3 linked regions of the Drosophila melanogaster genome follow. The protein of the gene in region 1 interacts with the protein of each later gene in a pairwise test. Each region holds a gene or a part of one and is shown on either strand. Other genes may lie near its edges.

Evidence for each region.
Region 2: the proteins of CG11125 (region 1) and osy interact in a two-hybrid assay, tested with the Drosophila melanogaster proteins (one large-scale study listed by BioGRID).
Region 3: the proteins of CG11125 (region 1) and CG13868 interact in a two-hybrid assay, tested with the Drosophila melanogaster proteins (one large-scale study listed by BioGRID).

The regions. Positions count from the first base shown.
Region 1 is NT_033778.4:7,445,709-7,450,517, forward strand, and holds CG11125 (uncharacterized protein), read left to right. Parts: upstream 1-1,764; 5' UTR 1,765-1,945; coding exon 1,946-2,003; intron 2,004-2,078; coding exon 2,079-2,547; intron 2,548-2,603; coding exon 2,604-2,911; intron 2,912-3,074; coding exon 3,075-3,233; intron 3,234-3,285; coding exon 3,286-3,458; 3' UTR 3,459-3,709; coding exon of another isoform or gene 3,710-4,060; 3' UTR 4,061-4,287; downstream 4,288-4,809. Other genes in the region: Fa2h (fatty acid 2-hydroxylase), read right to left, coding at 693-1,181, 1,246-1,473, 3,710-4,060.
Region 2 is NT_033777.3:26,316,758-26,321,364, forward strand, and holds the start of osy (oskyddad), read left to right. Parts: upstream 1-1,597; 5' UTR 1,598-2,216; intron 2,217-4,607.
Region 3 is NT_033778.4:20,313,908-20,318,918, reverse strand, and holds the start of CG13868 (uncharacterized protein), read left to right. Parts: upstream 1-2,001; 5' UTR 2,002-2,468; intron 2,469-2,923; exon of another isoform or gene 2,924-3,624; intron 3,625-5,011. Other genes in the region: CG13871 (uncharacterized protein), read right to left, coding at 1-1,511.

The DNA of each region.
Region 1 (4,809 bases):
GAAATTGGGACCCAAAAAAATAAACAAAACTTTCGCTGGATTCTTGGTAGTGTGACCAAGCAACGCCAATGAGAAATTCCACTTAAGACAGGTCTTAAACAATTATCTTAAGCTAATTTTAATAATATAATATTAATTATTAAACAAACTTGAACTGATTGTACCAGATTTGTATGAAATAGGTAAATGAAAGTGTTCATACAAACCGTCTGTCTGCTTCTTTATTTATTCGATTTTAAACAAAAATATTTAAACGCTCCAGAGTGATGATAAGGCATTTACCAAAGGAATTAAAAGTTAATCAAAGTATTCCCTCTCATATATAGGTAAGGTACCAAACTTCTAATGTAAACTTTGGTGACGCATCATAAAATTGCCGAAAATTTTTTGTTTTTCCCCAAAATAGTTCCAAAATAGTTCCAATAGTTCCTTTGATTGCCCAGTTTTCTGTTTTCAAAAAGGATTTTCCATTTGTTCTTTGGTATCATTGGAAGTGTATTCCTGTTTAATAGAAATTGGTAAAAGTCTTACAAATAATTCTTAAGCCTAATGCTCAGTATTCAGCCTACACAAATAGGCTAAAAACCAAATTTCCGATTTGATTGAACTATTTGCTGCGGCAGCAACTCTGTTGCGTTGAAAACTGAATGTAATTTGTTCTATAGTAGCACTGTATTAGCCATTTATTGCAGCTAGGACCAGCGCAGTTGGTATCTCAGCTTGCGGAGATGGATTCTCGTTTTGAAGACGACATCCCACAAGGGACTGCTGATGCCGTAACCGAGAGTTTGGTGCGAGAAGTGGTGGTGGTGATGATAGCGCTTCATGTGTACAAAGGCCCATAGCGAAGGGTTCCCATAGTGCAGGTAGTAGTGCATCATATCGTAGCACAGATAGCCGGCCAGAGCTCCAGACAAGATCACTCGCGGATGGGACAGGACAAAGCTGAGCGGGGTGTAGATGACCGCGGCGAGCACTGCGCCGGGAAGGGGCGGAAACACCAGTCGCATCGGATCGAAGGGCACCTTGTGGTGCAGGCCATGGATCATGAAGTGGAAGGTGCATAGCCAACTTCCGCTCTTGTTGCTCAGCTTCACGTGGAACACCCAGCGGTGCAGTGTGTACTCCAGGAAAGACCACAGGAGCACGCCAAATAAAAAGTAACCGGAGAACACAGCCAGCTGCAGAAAGAAGATACTTTTAGAAGATCGTATCCAAGAATGCGAAGATTGCGCGACTACTCACCTGGTTGCTATCCTGCCAGGCGGTGGTGAACTCCTCCACGGCGCATTTCACGATCACTGGTATCCAGAACAGGGGCACCAGCCACCAGGGCGTCTTGGTGCACATCTCCAAGTACCAAGGGTCAAAGAGACGCAGTGGCCTGTCCACCGGCTTGTGAACCCACTCATCGTAGCAATCCGTTATGTTAGCTATCTGCGGAAGCATTGCCTTAGACCAGTCCACTAGGTGCTGGAATTCATGAATTTACAATAGGTTAGTCAATAAATTAATACAGTATGTATTACCATAAATTGGTTTGGTTAATTACCTTTGAAAATTAAATATTTAAAATTAGAAGCTGTGCAGAGTTTTTATTTTATTTTATATTTTTTTATTTATTTTATTTTAACTTTACTATAATTACAGAATAGTAAGAATTTCACTTGATTTCTACTTGCTTTTTTATTTAATATTTACTTAAACACTAGGACATCCCATAAACCGTTAGTTGGCTCGAATGTGGCCAGCCGCGGGTCAGCACCGAACCGATATATAATGTTATCGGGCATCGATGAGCAGGTACAATCACAAGCAGCTGGTTCAAAATTGTCATTTGAACCTGTGCCTTACTTCACACAACGACGCAGTTTCCACTTGTCGTAGTCGAGATCACATTTCTGGAGCCCCAGCCGTCTAGTTATAGTTCGGGAGTAGGTGGAACATGTCGAATACTTCAGTTCGCCCGATTCCAACGTTAAAGGGCATCTTTTCGGTGCCGCGTAAGATTTCTTTTCCAAACAGCCGCTTGGCCATGGCAACCAGTTGGTAATTTGTTTTGGTCTCCGTTCCCACAGGCGTCACACAGTCCCGAAACTTCCTCAAGGAAAACAAGGTGAGCCTGCGCTCGCTGGAAAAGTCCACCAGCCAGAAGTTGGCCGCTAAGGAGCCGACGCGCCCGAAATGGATGCCCCCGCTGCGACGCTCTTCCTCCGTGATGGGAGACTCGAAGGCGGAGAAACCAGCAGCTAAGGGCAAAACTATAAAACAGAACTCGTTGCAAAATGGCCGCAGCACCTCTCGCTCACAGCACCAACTGGCCGTGGCCGTTCCGGCGGAGGGGGAACGCTTCGATGGCCTGGAGGAGCGCAATCCCATCTTATATGACCCGTCGGAGAACTTAGAATCCGAGAATCTCCAAGAGCCTTCGTCGGATACAGACATTGATCGCTGTCAATCGTGTGGCACGAATCGGAGCTCCACCAGCATAGCCATCCAAACTGAGGACATTACCGACGAACTCTATCTAACAAATGCTCTGAAGAAGTATGACTTTTTGCACCAAACTCGAAGGTTTTCACAAAGGTTTATCTTATCCGCAGATGTAACTTTGATGCCAGATCTATACTGGAGGAATCCGGTGCAAAATACGGGGAAAACTACAAACCCATGCAATATGAAAACGAGGAAGATTTGGAACAGTTGCCGCTTTCGGCGCGTTCGAACTCCTCGAAGCAGAGTCGCTTCAACATGTCCGAAATGGAGGCTATGCCCATGACCGAGGCCGAACCTGCAAACTACGGCGCCTCAGACGACGAGGCTCCACTCAGTGCCCGTAGTCGTTTCACAACGGCCTCCAATGTCACCACCATAAGCTCTAAGTCAAAGCGTCGTGAGCATAAACTAGGATGTGAGTTTATCCCTTGTTTACCAATTGTCAGCGACAGTAATGACAAAATTAAATATCTTTGATAATTATTTCATATATAATCTATAATTATTCTCTATTTTAAATATCTTATATTCCCTCCTGATTTGATTTGAACTAGTCATGAATTTGTACTTTTTGACAGCCCGAGATGAGGTGCGCTTGCCGCGTTACCTGGAAAAGCAGAAGCGCGAGAAGGCGGTGGCCAAGCAGCTTGCGGAATCGCTGGATCCCGACTGTCCGCGTGGCCATGTGTTGCTCAGCGATCAGGACCGACTGACGCACCTCACTAATGCTAAGAAACGTGAGTTAATGTTACTACTATAAGTTTGACCCTTGCTAACGAATCTTAACAGGCTACGAACAGCTGGTTAATGAACTGAACCACATGCCCATGACTGCACAGACGTTGAGGGTGCGCAACCGCAAGGCGGAGATCGACAAGGAGCTGACCACCGTGGAGGAGGACATCCGCATATACTCCAAGGCAAAGGTCTTCGTGCTGGCCAGCAAGTCGCGACAGTTGTGAGAACTCATGCTACATAGCTCCCAAAAACATTAAAGCATTCCATCGACTGACTGACCGAGCGAGCTACTGGAATCTTGGATTTGCAAAACACGCGTGTTCCTTTCAACCATGCCTTACGTTAATAATATATTTTTTAGCTGAGATTTGGATCGCAGACCTACCCCGCCCCGATAGCATTGTGACCAACTTAACGTGCGATCCAGTCGACCAGCAACTAGAGTTACAGATTAAAAACCGCTCATCCAACTTACCTCCATACTATCGTCCACCTGGTTATTGTTCTTGTCCTCCGTTTCCCTGGGCCGTTGTCGCAAAGTCCCATCTTCATCGTGATGCAACGTTTCCCTTTGGCTCGACTTTGGTTTCCGAGAGTCCTCTGGATCGATTTTGTACTCCCTCATCAAGTACATGGCCGCATCCGAATGTGGCGGCGCCTTTAGGAAGCGAGCTGTCATGTCCCCGCTGTTGAGACCTTTGAGTGTGTTTATGCCTCCCGGATGCTTGTGCATAAACCTGGACAAATCGTAATACTGCTGGCGATACTTTACTATGAACTTGTCGTTCGACTCCGCTTCCTTTGGTATATCCATGTCGATGGGCATCAATTTGGCAACTGCAGTGCGAAAAACAATCGGATAAGACTTTGCTGTTCCTTTGCGAGCATGATACTCTGCCACTGATTATCTTTGGAATTAATTACTTTGCGTGCCCAGCAGCAACATGATGCCATATTGTATCGGACACGCTCAATTAAATATATAATTCACCTCCTCTTAGAGTTATTTTGTACACAGATCAAATGTATCATCCCCAAAAAACTGAATTAAATAACCCTCATTGGCGCAGCTAAATGAAATATTTCACACAAATATATTTTAAGTAAATCTCCTTAAGAACATATTGTTTAATTAAAAAAAAACAACAGCTATCTATCTGCTGAGATAATTGGTTACGAATTCATAATTTTGACCTTGATGCTTATGGTATTTACACAAATAAAACGACAATGTATTATAAATAATCCTGTTTTTATTAATAGTTTTTGAAGGGATGCAGCATTTCCTACATATTTGATATGCGCACTGTATAGTATTTGCCATTTTCATGATTCATAAAAAAATTTCACAGCCAAACCTACGATAGCGTAATCTATTGAAACCAAAATATAAGTATAGAAAAAGTATCTGCACCTATTATCTGCATTCCAAGGTATCCATTAAAGTCAAAGTTTTGCTTATCAATTAACTTCTATCCGATTTCTAGTGACCCTAAGGATATATTATTTTGACTTCCTTTTAGTTGAAGAAATTTTGGATTGATACCTTCTATTCTGGCGTTGAACTTATAGGAT
Region 2 (4,607 bases), on another chromosome or scaffold:
CTTCAAAACTTGCAGCTAATCTCTGCCAGCAGTCCGGCGAGCGTCTCCCCATGGGCAAGTCCAATTCCAAACTCCGTTGGGTGCCTGTGCCCTGGGAAAGCTGTCAATACACGTCTAAAAATTAACTGATTATTTAACTTAAATGTAATATGTCCTGCAATACTTTTACAAATTAAAGAATATCAATTTTGGGTTGTCGAAAAGAATCTTCTACATTACCAAAAATTTTTGTAAGCATTTAATTATAATTTTTCGGCTTCATTCAATTTTTAGACGTGCAGTTCCCACTTAAATAGTGTTGCGTCATTATTCAAAATGTCAATGTCATTTCAGTTTCTTGTGCTCTCTGGCGGGCTCCTTTCTCGCTCAGTGACACTGCAGACTCGTTTTTTGGTGGCTGAAGTCTCAACTCACTGCACTGACAGCTGATGATTTTGGAAGGATAATAGAGGGGTGTCCTCCCGAGATGCCCCGGCGTTTTGTCATGCTTAACTGCCGCTGCTTTTGAGGCCTTCTGACAGTCCCCCCAGTTTAAAGTTTCATCGAAACTGTGAACAATGGTGGCTGGGCTGTGGATTCCAGTGCCATTTTCTGGCCTGCCTTAAATCATAAGCTCAATATTAGCTTTTCCGGTTATTTCAGCCACTTGTGTCCCTTTTCGTATTTACTTGCTATTTGCCGAGTGGTCCGCAATGGCCATCAATTTATTTAACAAATGACAAACGCTTTGCAAATCAAACAACAATAACTAATAGACAGTTTGTTTGCCGTCCGTTTGTCCGTTTATTTTTTGTTGTTCCAGTTATTTAGGTCCCGAGGGCCGCTTATCTTTGAGTCCAGGCCCGAACAAAAAGGCCGCGTGTGGGATCTGGCGTTTCAATCAGACAACCGCAATAATGCACCATCGAAAATAAGCGATATAAATGTGTGTGTCTAAAATACGTTTGCATTATAGCTAATAACCGATTTGCGTGCCCAACGAACATAAGCCAACTCTGAGGTCGGAGGTCGCATTTGGCCGACGGCATTGTTGCTGCTATTATCGCTCGGGCCTTGTGTGTTTTTGTTACGGCACAATGCACCATACATGATAATCTTTTATTAAGTTTTCGTATGGGCAAGTCCTTTCAGCAGGCTAGTTGCACAAGTGAAATTGTTATTTAAGTTATTAAACTTACTAAATACAAAATAAATATTTTTTTAAAAAAGAATTGTTGATTTTTTGTATATCAAAAAGAGAAAGCTAAAATATATAATTTTTATTTATAATATAGCAAGGACATGAACCACGACGCATTGTGCATTGAACGATCAAAGCTCAATTCCCAAAATGATCTGCTGTAAGCTTAGCTTAGCAAAGACTTCCACCGTGACCCAGATCTGTTCCCACCTGTGCTAGTCAAGTGGGTAGAGTTTCGGCCACAGAAGTCCAAGCACTCCACTTACTATTTTTGATCTTTTAGACGCGTCGTTTAGACGGCTTCATAAACGCGGCTATAAACAAGAGACGTCGCTGCCGACGCCGCTGTCGATAAGGCCGATGCTATTTTCGAATTGGGCGATCTGTCAGCGCTACGAAGTCGGTTTTGTTGAGTTGATCAGTTGAATTCACGTCGTCGGCGAGTCGAGAAGCAAAACGCGGAAACGCTTGAGCAAACAAAGCCGAGAACCTGAGCTGAGTGTTAAGATACTTTTAGTGTGGCTTTGCGCGCGGATTTTTCGCGTTGACATAAACCAGAGCACTTTGCAGATCGTAGTTTCTTGCAAGCGTTGTGAATGAGCCAATTTTAGCGGCGATTATTGTGCAGTGCAGCTTTCAAATCCATCTCAGTGTGGTAATTTTTCAGTTGGCTAATTGTGCAAGTAAAACAAAAATTGAAAACAACAACCACGCTTCGTCTAGTCGGCAGTAGTATCTGTGTACGTTTCGGTGTATCTGTATCTGTGTCCGCTCAATCTTTGCTCAATCGCAATCTTTGGGCATTGCCAAAACAGGTTAACTAAAAGCAAACGTGTTCTTTACGTTTCTGTTGACTTTTGCCAGCCGCAAAGCCAAAAGTTAGTCAGCAAAAAATAACAAAACAACAAAAATAAAGGGGGAAAATACAAATTACGAGGAAAATCAATAACAGACTGTTGCCACAGTTCCTGCAATTCGTGGTTTCTCGCCGGAATAAAAGCAGCTGCGGTCCATTTAAGAACTTCAAGGAGCACAGGTAACCGCAGGCCATTGGCCTCCTTCACATTAAAATGCCAAGGGCTGCTGTGGATGCTGAGGGGATTTCCCACTCAACCAGCTCAAGGATGCCCAGATAATGCAGGGCTTCGCATTCCCAAAAGAAAAAACCATTCAGTAAAAACACCAGCTTCGTCAACGACCTGCTCCAATTCGATTTATGCAGCCCAAGGTCAACAGCAACGGCTTTAAAATGCAAACTCAGGCGAAGTTGAATCTCCAAATGAATGCTTCTGCTTTTGCTGCTGCCTTTGTTGCCGCGACTTTTGTCTCGCGTTTTTTGAACTTTTCAGTTTCGGACGACTTTTGTCGAGGCGGTGTAAAGATGTAGCAAATGACTTAAGGTTAAAGCACAGAGAAACCATGTTTAAGAACTACACTTTAAGTGATTTTTTTTTTGGTTTTTAAGTGATATTTGGATGTTACTTTATCTAATACTTTATTTGACTAAACAATTAAATAAATATTTATTGGCAATATATGTAGGTTTTTAAAGAAAAGGTCTGGTTGTAAATTTAGAGTACTTCTGCATATCAGCTGTCCTTCTGCGAAGGGCTCATAACTCTGGCTCTTTAACAGCCGTTTGTAATTATTTAATTTGCTGACTGCAACCAGGCACTTAACCTTTCCAAAATTTACACACAAACCGCAACAATGAGCGTTGCCGCAAGAACAACAACAATAATCGAGGTGACCGCGTTACTTGGTACAATTAAAACCGCAAAACTCGACTCGTTAGGTAACTTTGACCTGCTCAGCAAAAAAAAATTAGTTTTAAACAACTAAAAGCAGAAAGGTTACGATGCACCCACTAAGTTAAACGATTACATTTAAAGAGAAGCGCCCAAAAAAGGAACCCATTAAGCTCTGACTAATTTTTAGATGATGGTTTAACTAATGAAAAATTATTAAATTAATGTTGGTCAAGGCGTGTGCTCATATTAATTATTTCACATGAGTTGCGCAAAACTGGAAATCAAGTGACTAACACTTTTAAAATTTTTGCCAGGAAATCCATAAAGCCGATGAGGAGTATGTAGATCCGCGCAAGAGGTTCTTAAGATCTTGCAAGTCAGAATGAACGACACGAAACTCGCTTTTCGCATTTTATTAAAAATGAACTTAGTCCACAACAACTCAATCAACAATGACTGCCCACCGTCTTTGTTGGAGCATGAGTAATAAATTTCGCATTCATCAGCTGCCAATTCTATTAGCGGAAATTAAATAAAACTTTTCGGGTCATTTTTTCGCTAAATTGAAATAATTCTGCTTAAATTGCTAATTGTTTTGACCAAAAATTCTAATTAGTGCATCCGTGTTCAATTTGAAGCACTCGTTAGCTGCCGATTGCCGACGGCAATAAATTGCATTTACCATTTCGGCACTTGTTTGGGACTTTTTAAAGTGCAATTAACGCCAAGCCACTGCACAATTATTTATTTATACATTGCATGTTTTTTTTTATATCACTTTTCCATTTGTCGAGCTTTGACAACTCTTAACTGTGGGAAGTGGGCCTTTATTGAGTTTGTCAAGGCGCATCGTCGTTTTGGCCATTTGTTACATTTGCATTCCAGCCAGCGGATGCACATGTAATGGCAATTGATTTACAATCTATGCGAATCAATATAAGCCGAGTAGCAAAAAAATTATAGGCATATACGTGGGTATGTGTGTATATAATTATTCAATTAAACGACCACACAGCGAGCCAAAGGTAACCGCCAATAAAAGTATTCGCTCAAATACAAATAAATATATTTTCCTTTTTTGTACGATTTTCCGGCGTGAGACATGGCTCCACGAATGCAATCAAAGTCGAACTTTATGGACACGAAAAAAAAGTAAAAAAAAATCAAAACGACAGCCAAAAGTCTGTGGCAAATTTAATTTATCTGTTTGATTTTATTTGCAAAAAGTGTCAGATATGTGAAAAACATCATAATAAATGAGCAGCGCGTGAGAAGCCAAAGAATGTGGTATAAAAAAGATATATTTATTTCTGGATTCATAAAATGAATTGCAAAAGGGTGTTATAATTGCCCTTAAAATACTGATACAATAATTGTCAATTTAATTTCCCATTTACCTACAATACCAAGCATTTAAAAGTTTATATTTGAGTTGAAACGACATGTAATGGGACCATTATAAAATATTTGTTGCCCTAATTCATCGCTGTCTTGGCCCATTAATAAATATCAATATAATCAATTTGCAAGTTTCCACACTGACAATTCAGTCAAGTTTAATTATTGTAAATAGCGTTTGAGAAGGAAGTAAAATCAATTATGCAAATACCCCTAACAAAGTTATGAAACACGTTGGGCAAATGGCCGGAATAAAATTGACTATGATGCGAAATCAA
Region 3 (5,011 bases), about 13 Mb from region 1:
ATAGCGTACAACTTGTGTTTTTTCTTCTTTCTTGGTCTCAATTCAAATGTATTGCCTGGATGCAGTTCATCATCGCTTGTGCCCTCCAATTGAACAGCATTCATTTGTGCTCGCGGCGACGAGCTAAGAGAATCCTTTCTGGGAAAGGAGGACATTGGCTTGACTACCACGCTCAAGGCTTCCAGATTGATACGTCTGTTGTCGTCGGAGGTTTCTGGTTCCAAAGGAGTAAAAGGCTCCATGGAATTTATGGACTTCAGTGGCTTTCGAGGCTCCTGAAAAGGTTCCAGGCGTGCAGCAGCCGCCGGAGCAACCTCAAACCTCTTTGGCTTCATTGGCCTCCTTAGCTTCATCTGCTGCTGGTGCTCCTCCCACACCCGATCCTGCAGTTTCAACTCCTCCTCCTTGGCCACTGCCAAGTCGTACAAGCTCTCTTTTTGGCTCGCTGGTCGAATTCCAAAGGAAAATACCCTGGATGGTGGCCTTGGCTCGGGTTTTTCGATACGTTCAGACGTCTTTGTTGTTGGTTCTTTCTCTTTAACGTGGTTCTCCGATACATCGTCGTCCGTTGAGTGACTTAGCAGTTCCAATTCCAGGTAGTTGAGATTCTTGAGCACCGATAGGGCATGCTGCTTGGTGGCCAAAATGATTTCCAGCAGCACCTTGGCACCTCCTAGCTTTTGAGATTTCGTCGATATGGGGCACTTATTACTGGGCTTAATCCTTTGAGCAGATGGCTTTCGCGTCGTTGGTGGACGCGAAGGTGCGGAAGGCGGAGGACGAGGTGTTGGTGGAGATGTGGGAAGCGGCTTGAGCGGAGGATCGGATGAGGGTTCCGGAAGGCAGAAAGTGGTGGGACTGCGCGTTGTGGTACTAAGGGTCGTCCGATGAGTCGTAGGGCTTCTTGTGGTGAACCCGTGGGATCGAGCCGTGGTGCCACGACAAGGCCCAGACTTCCTGGGCTGATCGACCTTGGAGCTAATGACCTTGGCCAGCAAATTGGCTGTTGCCACAGCTGGTTTTCCATCCAGCTGCTGGTCGTTTAAGTAGCCACCCAGCACCCTCTTGAGCTCACGATCGGACTTACGCTCATTCAAATGCTCATTGAAGTTCATCCTGGCCAGGGACTCGAAGGGATCATCCACATCCTCCTTACCCAGACAATCATCGTGCATTCCCTGTCCAATGGCGCCGTCATCAATCGGAAATTTGTACAAGTTATCTTTGAGCATCTGGGCGGCAACATTCGTGGGACCAACCAGATAGTGTTCCGATTTCACCTTGCCAGCAGCAGCCATTTTTTCTGGAATTCCCAATTTCTGCTCCATGTCGTCCAGCCGCTGGAAGAGCAGTTCCGGATCGGAGAAGTATCGCTGCTCCGAAGGCGCCAAGTCCCTTCGCTCGCTGCCGAACGGCCGCCTGGGCCACGAGGTATCCGCATATGAGTACCTGCGTACTGATCTTCCTTCGGATCGGTCGGTCGCTTGTCCAACGCTCGCCAGGATTGCCATTGCCAGTAATGAAAGTCGGACTGCGCTGTGGCTCAAAATCCGCGTTGACATTGTTCTCATAAGCACAACATCTTGCTGGAATTATCGCCGAGTCATGTTTGTAAAATTCCTTATATTCGAAATCAGTTCCATGACATGTTATGCTCATTGGTTGTTTTTATGTTTAAATAATTTTTTAAAAATCTTCTATAATTAAAGCGAAGAATTCTAAAAAAAAAAGTATACATTAAAAGTGAATTGGTAGATTATTTGCCCAAAGAACTCAAGTGGTCAAGTAGAGTTTAAATGGTAGTAAATAATCTTTTTAATATTTTGTTGAAAGAAGGCAGTCATATTTTTCTTGCTCAACAAAGGACGACGTCAGGTCGAACTTCTAAGGACACGGAGAAGGCTTGTTCAAGCAACAAAGCATAACGGGAATCAGTGGTTGGAAGGTTACTGGAAATCGGACTGGAAAGTGGAAATGCTGTGCTCATTCAGTTCGTAAGCCACAGTCGAGTTTTTCACGTCCAACTGTGCAGCACATCCTCGAAATAAATGGACATATTAAATACAAACTAAATTATAATAAATTGTGAAGTTAAGCGAAAAACAGAGATTTCCCATATCTCCCTGAAAGTTTTGTGTCATAGGCGTGTTTTCAAGAGTTTGCGAACTCATCGTTAAATGACACTCAAACGCAAAAGGCACAAAAACTAAACGCTAAACGGGGTCCGAAATCCTTAGTTAATGCCTTAAATACAAGCGGAAACCAAGTGTTGCGAAACCAAGTGCAATGACTGTCCTCAATATGCACGCCAAAATGATAATATTGATTTTATTTTTCTACAACGGTTCCTACAACTGGAGTAAAAAGCAGTAAGAGGCTCCTGGCTTCCACGCATTTCCTGCGGCAGGCGGCGTTTCATTTCATGTGTGTGCCGTCCTGCGATTGATAATACTCCCAATTATAATAAGGTAATGGGCTCCTGGCTTCTGTTTCCTGGCATCTCCAACTCCCTCTATTGATTTTGCCACTTGGCCAAATGACTGCGGTAACCAGGCAATTTGAGCCAAAAAGCAACACCAACGGGGAGCAGACAACAAAGAAATTGTCAATAAAAGTGCGCAAGAGCAGGGCATCCCCAACGCGACAGTGGCGTCCCGGAATATAAGGCCCAGTTAACAACTAGTAATATTTCAATAAATGAATGATTTCTTTTGTAAAAAAAGAAGAAGAAAACACAAATATTTGGAAAAAAAAAGTACACAAAGCCTAGTGCTCTTTTCTAGAATTAATGTTTATGAATTTAATATAAACATTTATTGCAGTCATTTTGTCAAGGTAGTTTCTTTAGACAAAGCTATATATTAACTTTATATTTATTTATCTTAACTTGTTATCATAAGTAATATTTAAGTCAGGACATCGAGTATACACATTTGAACGCCCTGGAGTGTTGGGCTCTGTGTTCTCGTTCCTCCTTCCAGGACTTCCAGCCTCTGTTCCGTGTGGAATGTGCATAGCCTTCCAGCGCCTGCGCCCTGGTGTCCTGTTGTTTTGATAGTAAAAAGGACATGGCAGTGCAGTTGTTTACAAACACGCACGCCAGACACGCGACACGTGGCGCAGGGAAGTTTCTGGAAGGCATATCGGGTCATGGATGTTGCTGGTTGATAGTGGGAGTGAGGAACACCGAATCTCGAGCGGATCCCATATATTACGCCCATTCCAAAGGCCGGCCGGCTGGGACGACTGGGCCGACTGGGCCGACGTGGCGGATGAGCGATGTCTGCCAACGGTGACGTCATAGTGGGCCAGCGACATTGAACTAGTTTCATCAGCACACCGCTCACATTTCACCAGTGACGTCAATGGAGAAAGCCGCACGTATTAAGCCAATAAGGCTTAAGTCAGCTCGACCTCCGAACTTTGTCTTCCGATCCAATAAAAAACACAACTCATCCAATAACATTGGCGACCAATTGTTATTGGCCTGCCTCGTAAATCGTCTGCCACAACAGCCCTGAGCTTCTTTTGCGTCGCGAATTCATTAGCTAATTAATAATTATGAATTCGATTGATAGTTTATTTATTTGAAGCTTAGACATCTGAATCGATGTCGCACTGTTTATTTGCTTCCTTCTTTGGCTTTCAAAATAGGATTGCTGGTCCAAATAAATTGTTATGGAACATAGATAAGTGTGGTCTGTGGTAATAATTTTCATTTTTTTATGATTACTCTCCAGATAAGTAATCATATTTCGAGTAGCCTTAAAGCACTCAAAATAGCTAAATAATCAGCCAATTCCCTTTCAAAGTGCGCAGTCTTTATAACTCTCAAGAACTAAGTTTTCTTCAAGCCGAAAAGCAAAAAAAAAAAACTTAACAGATTGCCTTCTCGCATTGCAATTGCTGTTTTTCTAGTTTCATTCTCTTAGATATTTGAATAACCTTGGGCTGGTGCAATACACTAAATTCAAATTGCACCATCAAAAAATGTTTGTCTACATCTCGGCAAACACGGCGAGAATTTCATTACGACGCAGTTATAAAGATCTCGACTATATGGCCGCTATATAAAACGACCCACCAAATGGGGCGGTATGGTGGGCGCAGGGGGCGTGGCAGTCGGCCTGGTTGGCACAATCCGTAAACAAAAACAAATGAAAAGCGCCACAGCATTTGGCATTGTTCCGCATGGCGGTGGGGCCTCGAGAAAAATGGGATCACAAGAACAGCTGCCAAAGGCGCCCTAGGCCTACGATTTGGATTACAGTGTAGCATGTAATATATTTTTAATCTGTTCAGACAAAGAAGTAATAAAGTTGCATATAAGTTTAAGGATTATAAGTTTAATAATGACATTTGTTTAACTAACGAAGCACTAACTAAACAATTATGAAAACATTTCTAAGCAGTATTCTTTTCACCTGTCATTATCTAGTCTTATGTTTATGTTATGTTAAAAATTCACTGTAATTAAATCTTTTGTTTTCGCAAACAAGCTGTTTACATTGTGTAAATCCCATTGGATGCCAATTAGTCTGTGACACTCGCAAAAGCCTGAGCCCGTGCGTAAGCATTTATAATATTAAGTATACGTAAACGGGGGGAGGGGCCCTTTTCCCGGGCAACCTTGGTTGCTTGCAACCAGTTGGCATTTCGAGTGGCACCTAAGCTCTTTCGCATTCGATTTAGGGAAAGTTTACAGTTTGCAGAATGCCAGAGTATCTGAAAAGTGCATCCAATCGTGTGATAACAAATACAATCTCTGGGGACAAATTTTCCACTCTGTGGGTCATAAAATTCAAGGTTTTCCATTCTAAGGGGAGAGCTAGGCACAAAAATAGATCATAAACAACAGTTGACTCAGTGCGATAAGCTTAGTAACTAAAATCAAAGTAAGCAAATCAACTGATTGCGTGACTGACTGACTATCATGGGTGTTTATTATTATCATGAGCTCACAAGACCGAATTTATTTGCTAATTGTACACCGCAAAATACAAATATATAC